2 linked regions of the Schizosaccharomyces pombe genome follow. The gene in region 1 interacts genetically with each later gene. Each region holds a gene or a part of one and is shown in the gene's direction. Other genes may lie near its edges. The genes, in order: nup131 and sec28.

What was found.
Region 2: mutations in nup131 (region 1) and sec28 together harm fitness less than expected from each alone (positive genetic interaction), as found in Schizosaccharomyces pombe (one large-scale study listed by BioGRID).

Annotation. Positions count from the first base shown.
Region 1 is NC_003423.3:972,293-978,606, reverse strand, and holds nup131 (nucleoporin, WD repeat Nup131), read left to right. Parts: upstream 1-1,760; 5' UTR 1,761-1,974; coding exon 1,975-3,435; intron 3,436-3,469; coding exon 3,470-3,563; intron 3,564-3,604; coding exon 3,605-3,990; exon of another isoform or gene 3,991-4,029; coding exon 4,030-4,384; exon of another isoform or gene 4,385-4,425; coding exon 4,426-5,558; 3' UTR 5,559-5,585; downstream 5,586-6,314. Other genes in the region: ilv1 (acetolactate synthase catalytic subunit), read right to left, coding at 1-1,498; serine/threonine protein kinase (CK1 family) Cki2, read left to right, coding at 6,159-6,284. UniProt on the Schizosaccharomyces pombe protein: Functions as a component of the nuclear pore complex (NPC).
Region 2 is NC_003423.3:2,325,551-2,329,203, forward strand, and holds sec28 (coatomer epsilon subunit protein), read left to right. Parts: upstream 1-1,923; 5' UTR 1,924-1,955; coding exon 1,956-1,986; exon of another isoform or gene 1,987-2,030; coding exon 2,031-2,866; 3' UTR 2,867-2,951; downstream 2,952-3,653. Other genes in the region: put2 (delta-1-pyrroline-5-carboxylate dehydrogenase), read left to right, coding at 1-1,352. UniProt on the Schizosaccharomyces pombe protein: The coatomer is a cytosolic protein complex that binds to dilysine motifs and reversibly associates with Golgi non-clathrin-coated vesicles, which further mediate biosynthetic protein transport from the ER, via the Golgi up to the trans Golgi network.

The DNA of each region.
Region 1 (6,314 bases):
TTTGATGTGCACCGACACCGGTGGTAATAGTGACTTTGTCCTTTATGTCAGAAGTTTGTTTGTCAAGTTCTTGAATGACTTCTTGAGGCTTTACCAATTCACCAGGAGCGCTACGAGTGAAAGTGAAAGGGAAGCGTTCCTTCCATGTTTGAATTTGAGATAACCAGTCAAATCGGGAAGGAATTTTAATATTTTTAGTAGCAGAATCTAAAAGCTTTAGAGATTCGTATACATCGCCCTCTATTGCTTCAGTAGGTTGTACGACCTTACCGATATTTTTGGGTGAAATATCAAAGTGAATAATACCGCCACGCTCTTCGGCAGCAGCAAGACGTGCTTGAGGAGCAAACAAACTTACGTTACCGGTGACACGGTCGTCAAAGCGAACACCAAGAGCAAGGATAAGATCGGCTTCCTGCATGGCCATATTAGCGTATCCACTACCATGCATACCGAGCATATGCAAACTAAGGTCAGAACGTTCATCTACAGCACCAAGTCCAAGCAAAGAAGTAGTAACAGGAATTTGCAGCCTTTCGCTAAACTTGCGTAACAAAGTGGGGCATTCGGGATTAGCTAAAACACCATGCCCACAGAAAATCACAGGCTTCTTGGCTAATTTTAGTAAATTGGCAACACGATCGATCTTGGCAGTAACGTTCTTGGAGCCCTCTTCTAAGACTTCCTTCATTCTGCGATTCATTGATGGTACAGAAGACAGTATAGGAATGGGCTCCTTCAAAACGCTAGCAGTGACATCTTTGGGAAGGTCAACCAATACAGGGCCAGGGCGTCCAGAAGTAGCTATCTCAAAAGCTTCGTCTATACGACGGGGAAGATCAGCAACATCTTTGACCATTACATTCCATTTAGTACATGAACGAGAAATACCAACCATGTCAGCTTCTTGAAATGCATCACTACCAATTGCGCTGGTTGCTACTTGACCAGAGAATACAACTAGGGGAGTACCGTCGGCCAATGCATCAGCAATCGGGGTAATCACATTCGTAGCACCGGGTCCAGAAGTAACCAATACAACGCCGGGTTTTTTAGTAACGCGGGAATAAGCTTGGGCTGCATGTCCAGCAGCTTGCTCGTGTCTTGGCAAGATAAATTCAAAATGAGGAGATCTATAAATTGCATCGAAGACAGGCAAGATAGCACCACCTGGATAACCAAATACATGCTTAACATTATGCTTGAGCATCATATCATGGAAAATTTCACCCCCAGTCTTTCCAACAAACGAGCTGTCATATTTTATAGGACTAGCCGTAGTCACTGTAGAGGTGCTTTTGGTCGAATTTGCCCGAACGACACCGAATGCATTTTTTAATTTTTTAATTCTCAAATTATTACTAAAGCCGGTGCCATACCTCCGCACAGCTGAGCAACTATTTAAATTTAAAAATCTCTTTTGAAGGGCAATTTCTCGTCCATAAGACGAGAAAGCCGCCCTCGTATGCAATCTTCTAAGGGGAGCCAGCACAGTCATTATAAATAACTTTTAACCCTCAATTCCTTTCTAGAAAGAGCTATCTTTCAAGTTGCAAAAGATCGGTATGCTGAGCGGTATGAGAAGTGAGCAGGTTCATTTTTGCCTAAAAACATTGGTTGTTCACCACCACAAAAAAGATCAGATTTGTTAACGATAAGTACTGTACCCCGGAGATTAAATATACCGATGCATAATACTATACCCTTTGAAGTCGTGTTATTATTCTTTAAAAAGTTCAGATGATGTAGGAATACAATTTATCTATTTATCCATGTCTCCTTAATTTTTTAAACATTAGTAAATGCTGGAAAACGTCAAATAAATTTTTCTTGATCCTAAATTATAAGTTTCCTATCGATTCAGCTTAGAAAATCGTCAGAATTATCTTTGAGCATAATCTGTTTAACACGTAAGAGATCTTAGATACTTTCGCTTTTTTAAACATTAGTGAGCCTCTTATTAGAGGAATTGCAATGTTTATTGTACATCGACGGTTTTTTCAAAATGAAAAAGCTTTTACGCCTGCAGGAAAACATGAAAAAGTTGCCGACGGAAACAAACATGAGACATTAGCTACTTCAGAATACCCGAAAGTCTGTGCATCAAATGACTTGTACAAAATACTCCAAATATCTGCTCCTAAGGTTGGCAATTTTACAATCCATGATGCGCCAGTTGTTGGACTAATTGACTCTATTTTGGAATATTATTTGTATATTAGTGTCAAAGTTCGAAAGGCATGGATTGCTGGTTATGGAAGTCAGCCCCAAAACTTAATATGCTTTGATTGGGAACGTTTTACGGGTATTCTAGATCAGCAGAGTCTAAATAGCCCACCGTTAGCTGGATTTGTTAAGCCAGATCCAACATCAGCAGAGCCTGGCTTTTTACTTTTGTGGCCTGCTTCGGGCGACCTTTTCTACTGGGAAAGAACTTCTTTGATGAACGTTGAGGTTTCTGCTCCCGAATTTCCTGGTTTTCTTCATTACAGGATTCAACTAAAACGATATGAAAGCTGTAAAAATTTGGTTAGTGCTGAGCCTGCTGGCTTTTTCCTTACTCTGAGTTCAGGTCGGTTGCTTCATCTGAATTTAAAAGATAGCGATGGCAATTCCTCTATTCAGGTTCGAATCCTATTTCCTGGATTGCACATCCCCAACTGCTTGCTGTCGTTATACAACAGTATCTTTGCATTTACTTCAGGAAGAGTTATTCCAATACGTTGTGGTTCAATAAAAGGACCTGGTGAGAGATTAGTTTATTCTATGCATTCTGGAAGCACATTGCGAATTTGGGAAATATTCGGGACTGGTGATCACCACTTGTTACGTGGTTTTGACATTTATGATATAATTTTAGATAGTATTCAGGAATCCTTTTCCTACGTAAATCGATTTCTAATCCTTGATTTTTCTGTTTCAACCTCGGATCCTTATACGTTAGCTTGTTTGGTTTCCTGGCGTGATAATGCTTCATTATTCAATTATGCTGCAATCATTATTTCTTTCAACCATCAGATGATACCTCATGTTTCACAATTCTGCCATGTACGCTCATATCTTTCTGCAATTCTTCCATCAGTGTGTCGAATATTTTTACCAAGTCCAGGTACAGTTGTTTTTTGCGTCTTCGATGTCACTTTTGCTATGTTTCATAAAGTGCGAGGGAAAGAAGGCACTTTTTATGTCGAAGAAAACCTGGTTGTGAACAACCTAACTTCCAAATCTCGGGTTTTGGATTTTGGCATGGAAGATGCGATATATGAAAAATCTACGCACACCTTACTAAAAACTCCAGCATTGATCTTGTTAACAGAAGGGCATGGTATAATCCGAATTGAATCTTCTGCTAGCTACCTGAAAACCAGCTTTAGTGCAACCACCTATTTACGAAGTCGTCTCTCCCAGTTTGCATCGCAAAGCCCTTTGTTCCGTGTAAGTTGTTAATTCTTTCGTATCTAACATATAGGAACAATTTTTGTTAAATTTTGACTTTACATACAACCTCTCTGAAAGCGAAGTCTATAATACAGTCTTTAATCTTTGTGATGAACTTTATACGAGTAAGATAATTTTTTCATGATATATTACTAATTGCAATCAGCGCCATGTAAAAAAAATATGTCTGTATTAGAAACACTACATTCTCAGCAACGTGACTTGATGGAAATAGTTCTTGTTGCCTTCAAATACCTACATTTATCTCCTTCTAATAGACTTCAATTATGGCTAAAAGTTGCCTATTGCAGTGCTTTGGCAGACCTATATGAATTATTGATGTGTAATGAAAAAATGTCTAACTTGCTTCGACGAGTATTGAAAATAATGTCTTCAAATGATAATATTGATGAACTTTTTTTGAAAAAGTGCCTGAATATAAATTTGTTATTACAGCATTTAAGCTCGGAATATTCTCAAATATCTGGCCAAGATGCTAGCAACGCACAAAAAAGAATTGAAGTAATAGTAAATGTTAATAACGTTTATGGGGTATGTTTCTTATAAAATAACGAGGTTTACTAATATTAGACTATCTTTGGAAATGAGCTTGCTTATAGGCAAGAAAAAATATCAAAATTTACTGATCCATCCTCTGTGATTAGAAGCGACCTTTGGACAGTTGAAGTTGATCACTTAGATTTACTACGAAAACAGATCGAAGATTCGATATCATTGCATCGCGATGTACGTGACTCGAAAGATGCACACATATTAAAAGTCAGTAACAAGCTTCGGAAGCAGATTTTGCATCTGGTGGAACAAAATTGCCTTTTGATCTTTGATTTGCACAATGGAACAGATGATACCATAGTAAAATCGCATAATTTTCAAAAATTTGAAGAAGAATTTGGCAATTCACGAAAAGAATGGTTACAATATTTAGGTAAGCTGTTTCTCACTTTCTTGTTTCCGCTAACAAAGAAGCTTCTGTCGGATATTTGGAAAAGGCAATCGACTTGGCGGAAAAAGTTAAAGACTTTCAGACAATGGTAATTTTGCTGGATTGTCTAGATCCAAAGGATCCTACCATTAAGCTTCAAAAGCAAAAAGCATGCTTAAATAAATACAAAGAAGAATTCGCAGATGTAATTTTTTTTTATTTGGTTGATACAGAGCAGTATGCGTCTTTGCTTCATGATTTCTTGGAGTATCAATCACTTTTAATATCTTTTTTTGAAGCCAATGATTTATTGAATCTTTTGTGGATATTTGAAGCTCAAAATGGAAATTATGGACGAGCCTCCGAAATTCTTTTCCGTGATTGTGAACCAGAAGAAAACAGGATTATCGGTAAAATTTCGCAGTTAGCTCTAGCAAAGCTCTACTCATGGACTAATAGAATTGAAGGTGAAAATATCATATTGTCAAATGAGACTGAGGTGATTGAAAATCATTTAGCCATTTTGCTTATTCAAGAGCAATATGCTGAAATGCTTTCATCACTTGTGGATATTACAGAAGACGAGGGAGAAGCTGTCGAAGCAATAGTAACTTCCAATTGTGTAAATCTATCAGAAAACTCTATCAGAGCCTGGCTCGTGTCTAGTGCTGTTGAGCGATTAATTCAAAACGAATACACTACGCTTTGTGAGATGGTAGATTTCTTTTCTTCTTTTTCATTACGGGAATGTTCATTCAAAGAAGTTGATTTGGCCTTAGAGTTATTAGAAAGAGCTACAATCACTAAGGACGTGTATTTTTACTTAAAAGATCTCGTATATCGCCGTTTTCTATTACAGGTGAACTGGGCAGAAATCATCGATGCGCATGAAGATTTAGAATCTTCATTTTTTCCAATGGTAAAGGAAATTATGTTAGAATCAGACTTTTTAATATGGTTACAACATATGGAACACAATATTCACGACGAAAGTAAACATTACTTGAAATCGGAAAAAAATTTTTTGCAAAGTGTATATTCTTCACTTTCTGAGTCGCAAGTGGAAGATTATCAAATGGAGCTTTTTCGTGAAAAGCAAATTTTCTCAGTACTATGTAAAGATAGAGAGTTATACATTCTGATTCCGAAACTTCTGGACGTAGCAACAAAACAATGAAATGAAATTTTGCTATATATTACTTTACATTTCCTCAGTAATCGATAAACACCTGTTTAAACCTAGTACTACTTATGTTTGTATAATCTATCGTATAGCCTCAGCTCCGACAACTCCGTTTTTACGATGGTAGATGCTAGATAATCACTGGTTAGAATATTTACGGCTTAAAATAATTAAATTTTTTTATTATAGATTCTTGATTTATTATGATGATTGCGCCTTCGGGGCTTTTTCCCTGTCCTGGATAGCCTCACCCTTACGTTGGAAATTAAGCTAAGGCCTAGTGTGTTGCATCCAAGTACACCTTACAACTAACGTCCACTAAAACACTCAAACCACATAATCATTTGTTAGTCGAAAGAAAGCCTGTAACTTCTATTAAATTATAGTAATTGGTTTTCTAAATTTTGTTGTTTTTGGTCGGCTACTGAATCGCAATTGGACTTCAATCTCTGTGGTGAATGCAGTGAAAACAAACTGAGATTTGTGTGGCATTTGTTAGTGAGGCTACAAATTGACTACATAAAAACTGCATAGTCCTTGCAATAAAAAAAATTTTATCTGTTCGGTCAATTCCTTGTGACAGGGTTATTTATCATGAATTCCCAAACGAGCGTAGTAGGGGTTCACTATCGCGTGGGTCGTAAAATAGGTGAGGGATCGTTTGGTGTTATTTTCGATGGGATGAATCTTTTGAATAACCAACTTATTGCTATAAAATTTGTATGTTCTTTGTTAGGATGAGTATATGGA
Region 2 (3,653 bases), 1.4 Mb from region 1:
CCTTACCTTTTGCTGACCGTTCTGCCATTTTCTTGAAGGCTGCTCATTTGATAAGCACCAAGTACCGTTACAAGCTCATGGCTGCTACAATGATTGGCCAGGGTAAGAACATCTGGCAAGCTGAAATTGACGCTGGAATGGAGATCATTGACTTCCTTCGCTTCAATACCAAGTATGCTAGTGAATTATATGCCAGCCAACCTCCCGAAAACACTCCTGGTGTCTGGAACCGTATGGAATATCGTCCTTTGGAAGGTTTCGTTTATGCCATTACTCCTTTCAACTTTACAGCTATTGCTGGTAACTTGGCTGCTGCCCCCCTTCTCATGGGCAACGTCGTTTTAATGAAGCCTTCTGACCATGCAGTCCTTTCTAGCTACATTGTTTACCAAATCTTCCGTGAAGCTGGTCTTCCCGCTGGAGCACTTCAATTTATCCCTGGTGACGCTGTTGAAGTCTCCAAGGTTTGTTTCAACCACCCTGAGTTTGCTGGTCTTCATTTTACTGGTAGCACAGCCGTCTTTCGTAGCCTTTGGGGAACAATTGGCGAGAATGTTGCCAACGGAAAATACCGCACTTACCCCAAAATCGTCGGTGAGACTGGTGGTAAGAACTTTCATCTTGTACATTCTTCCGCTGAAATTAAGAGTGCCGTTGTTAATGCTGTTCGTGCTGCTTTCGAATATCAAGGCCAAAAGTGCTCTGCCCTTTCTCGTCTTTACGTTTCTAAGTATGCTTGGGAAAATGGTTTCCGTGATGAGCTTACCAAACAGGTCAAGTCTCTTAAGGTCGGTGCTCCTTTAACTGATTTTGCTAATTTTGTGGGCCCTGTTATCCATCAAGCAAGCTTTAACAAACTGAAGAAGGTTCTTGAGAGTGCTGCTTCCGATTCTGAAATTGAAGTTTTGGCTGGCGGTAAAGCTGATGATTCCGAAGGTTTCTTTGTTGAACCTACCGTTTTACTTTCTAAAAACCCTAAACATGATATATTCGTTAACGAATTGTTCGGCCCCGTACTGTCTGTTTATGTATATGAGGATGACAACTTAGACGCTGTTTGCGATCTCATCGATACTACCACTCCTTATGGTTTAACCGGATCCATCTTCGCTCAGGACCGTGTTGTTGTCAGAAAGTTGACTGACCGTCTCCGTAATGCCGCTGGTAACTTCTATATCAATGATAAGTGTACTGGTGCTGTTGTTGGTGAACAACCTTTTGGTGGTGCTCGTGCCAGTGGTACTAACGATAAAGCTGGTAGCGGAATGATTCTGTCTCGATTCGTTTCTCCTCGCTCCATCAAAGATACGTTTGCTTATGCAGACTCTGTTTTATACCCTTCCAACTTTTAAGTTTGTTTTGGCCTTTTTGATTTGGATTTAATTTTTAGAATTTAGATAGACATTGGAGTTGTAGAGTGTTTTACTCTGTACTTTGATACTGCCATAAAAAAGACCACAACCTTTTTTTTTTTGGGTTTAGTACAATATGTGAGGAATAAAGGAAGTATATATATATATATATATTGATTAGTTACCTTGAGTTAAACTCAAACTTTCAAAGGTAGTCTAGGTTTTACAATTTTTTTTTTTCTTTTTTTTTAAAGCTCGCCATTTGTTATTCTAATAAATTATAATGTTCGCTTTGTTAACATGTATTGATTTATAACACTAGATTTGTTGCATTGTATATAAAAGCCAGTGGACCAAAATGTAGTTTGCTGGTGATTCTTGAATACAACAACGACCTGTAGAAAAAGGATCTCAATTATCGAACATTTTACTTGCTGACTGCGAAATATATTATATTAGGCTTCGGAGCAATTAGAAAAATTACAAGTCTTGATGGAAAGTTCGTTTGCTTTACATTTTGTTGTAGGGTTACTCATGTACAAACACCATTAACCCACATACTCTCTACTCCACACATCGCCCAACATAATTAAAACTTTTAACATGTTTTCATGGGAGGCTAGTTTATCTAATGGTAAGAGATGAGTTGGGAATTAAATAACAACTAATATTTGATAGAACTGTATTTTGTTCGTCAATACTTTTATAGTGGAAACTATACAAAGTTATTTGAAATTGACACGACATCCATGTCTGAAAAAGGTCTTGAATTGACCGAAATTTATATGGCAAGGGCAAAATTAGCTTTAGGTGAAAGTTTAGAATCAATCCAAAGTATTTTAACTCAAAAAACGCCTGGATCAGCTGCTATTCTGGCGCTGGCTGGGGAGGGGAACATGGAGTTAATTATTGACCAGCATGGCAATTCAGACAGTGTGGTACAAACATTAGGAGCTATTTTTCAAATTAAAAATGGTTCTTTTGATGATGCAATGGATTTATTAAAGAAGTCAGTAGAGAACTTGGAGGCGGTGGCGCTTCAAGTATACATTCATTTACGAGAGCACAAAATTGAAGCTGCTGAACAGACATTGAAACAGGCTTTGGATTGGGCTGATGAAGAAATTGTACTACAGCTGGCACAATCTTGGATTAAAATAGTTAGTGGAGGCGTCGAATCCTATAATGATGCATTTTATGTTTTTGAAGAGTTAAACGGAACTGATAGCAATCCAATGACTTTAACTGGTATGGCGTGTGCAGACATATGCTTGTTGAGACCTGAAGAGGCTTTGAGCTCGCTGAAAACTGCCCTCGATTCTCAACCAAATTACGAGGAGGCACTATCAAATATGACTACTGCAATCACGGATTTAGGCCCTGATGCTCCTTCTCAAGCCAAGAATATACTTTCATCTTTTACAAATTCTTCTACACTGAAGTTGAACGATCATTTAAATGAAAAGGCGCAAGAATTTGATACTTTTTCAACTCAATTTTTGAGTACGGCTTAATCCAATAATAATATTGTTTAGAATCTTCAATCCATTAATAAACTTCAAATGTTTGCATTTTTAGTATTTATTCATTGACTATTGCTTCACTCAAGTAATGGCTCGTTGATCTGTCTGGCAAAGCAAGTCAATCCAGTATTGCCTCGATAAATTTCAAGTTTACCAGAAGTAAAGGTATTAAACTAATTAATTAGAAATACTTAACCGCATGCAGAAGAAGACTCATGTAGACATAATAACAAGAAAACGCACCCGAATATATCTCGAAATGAAACATTTAAATGAACGCCGTCACAACAGGAGCGTCTTTAAACCGTTTACTTTTATTTATCAAATACATTCATTAATTAAAAATGAACTATTATGACTATCCACCTATATATTTGTTTTTAAAAATCTAGAATAGGTGGTTCTTGTCCAAAATTACTCAAAACCTGCAGTGCCACAAAATGACAAGCAACAAGTTTGCCTTTACAAATAGAAAAGAAAGATGTTTTGAAATACACAGGTGTTTGGAATTTGGAAAAAGCAAGAAAACCGATATTAAACGATAAGACTTTAAGAATCGAAGATGAACTTGCTCAAACGGCAGTGGCACCATGACAGATTACAACTATATATGCCAACATTTGCTTAACCCCAACATGTATCAAAACTCTTTAACTAGCAAACGTTCATTTTTGCGACATCGAACACTTAAATAAGCATGTATGAACGTATCAGTTTGTAACTCTCTTTGTAAATTTAGCGTTACTTCGCTCAAAATAGTTGGATTGTTGTGTAGTAT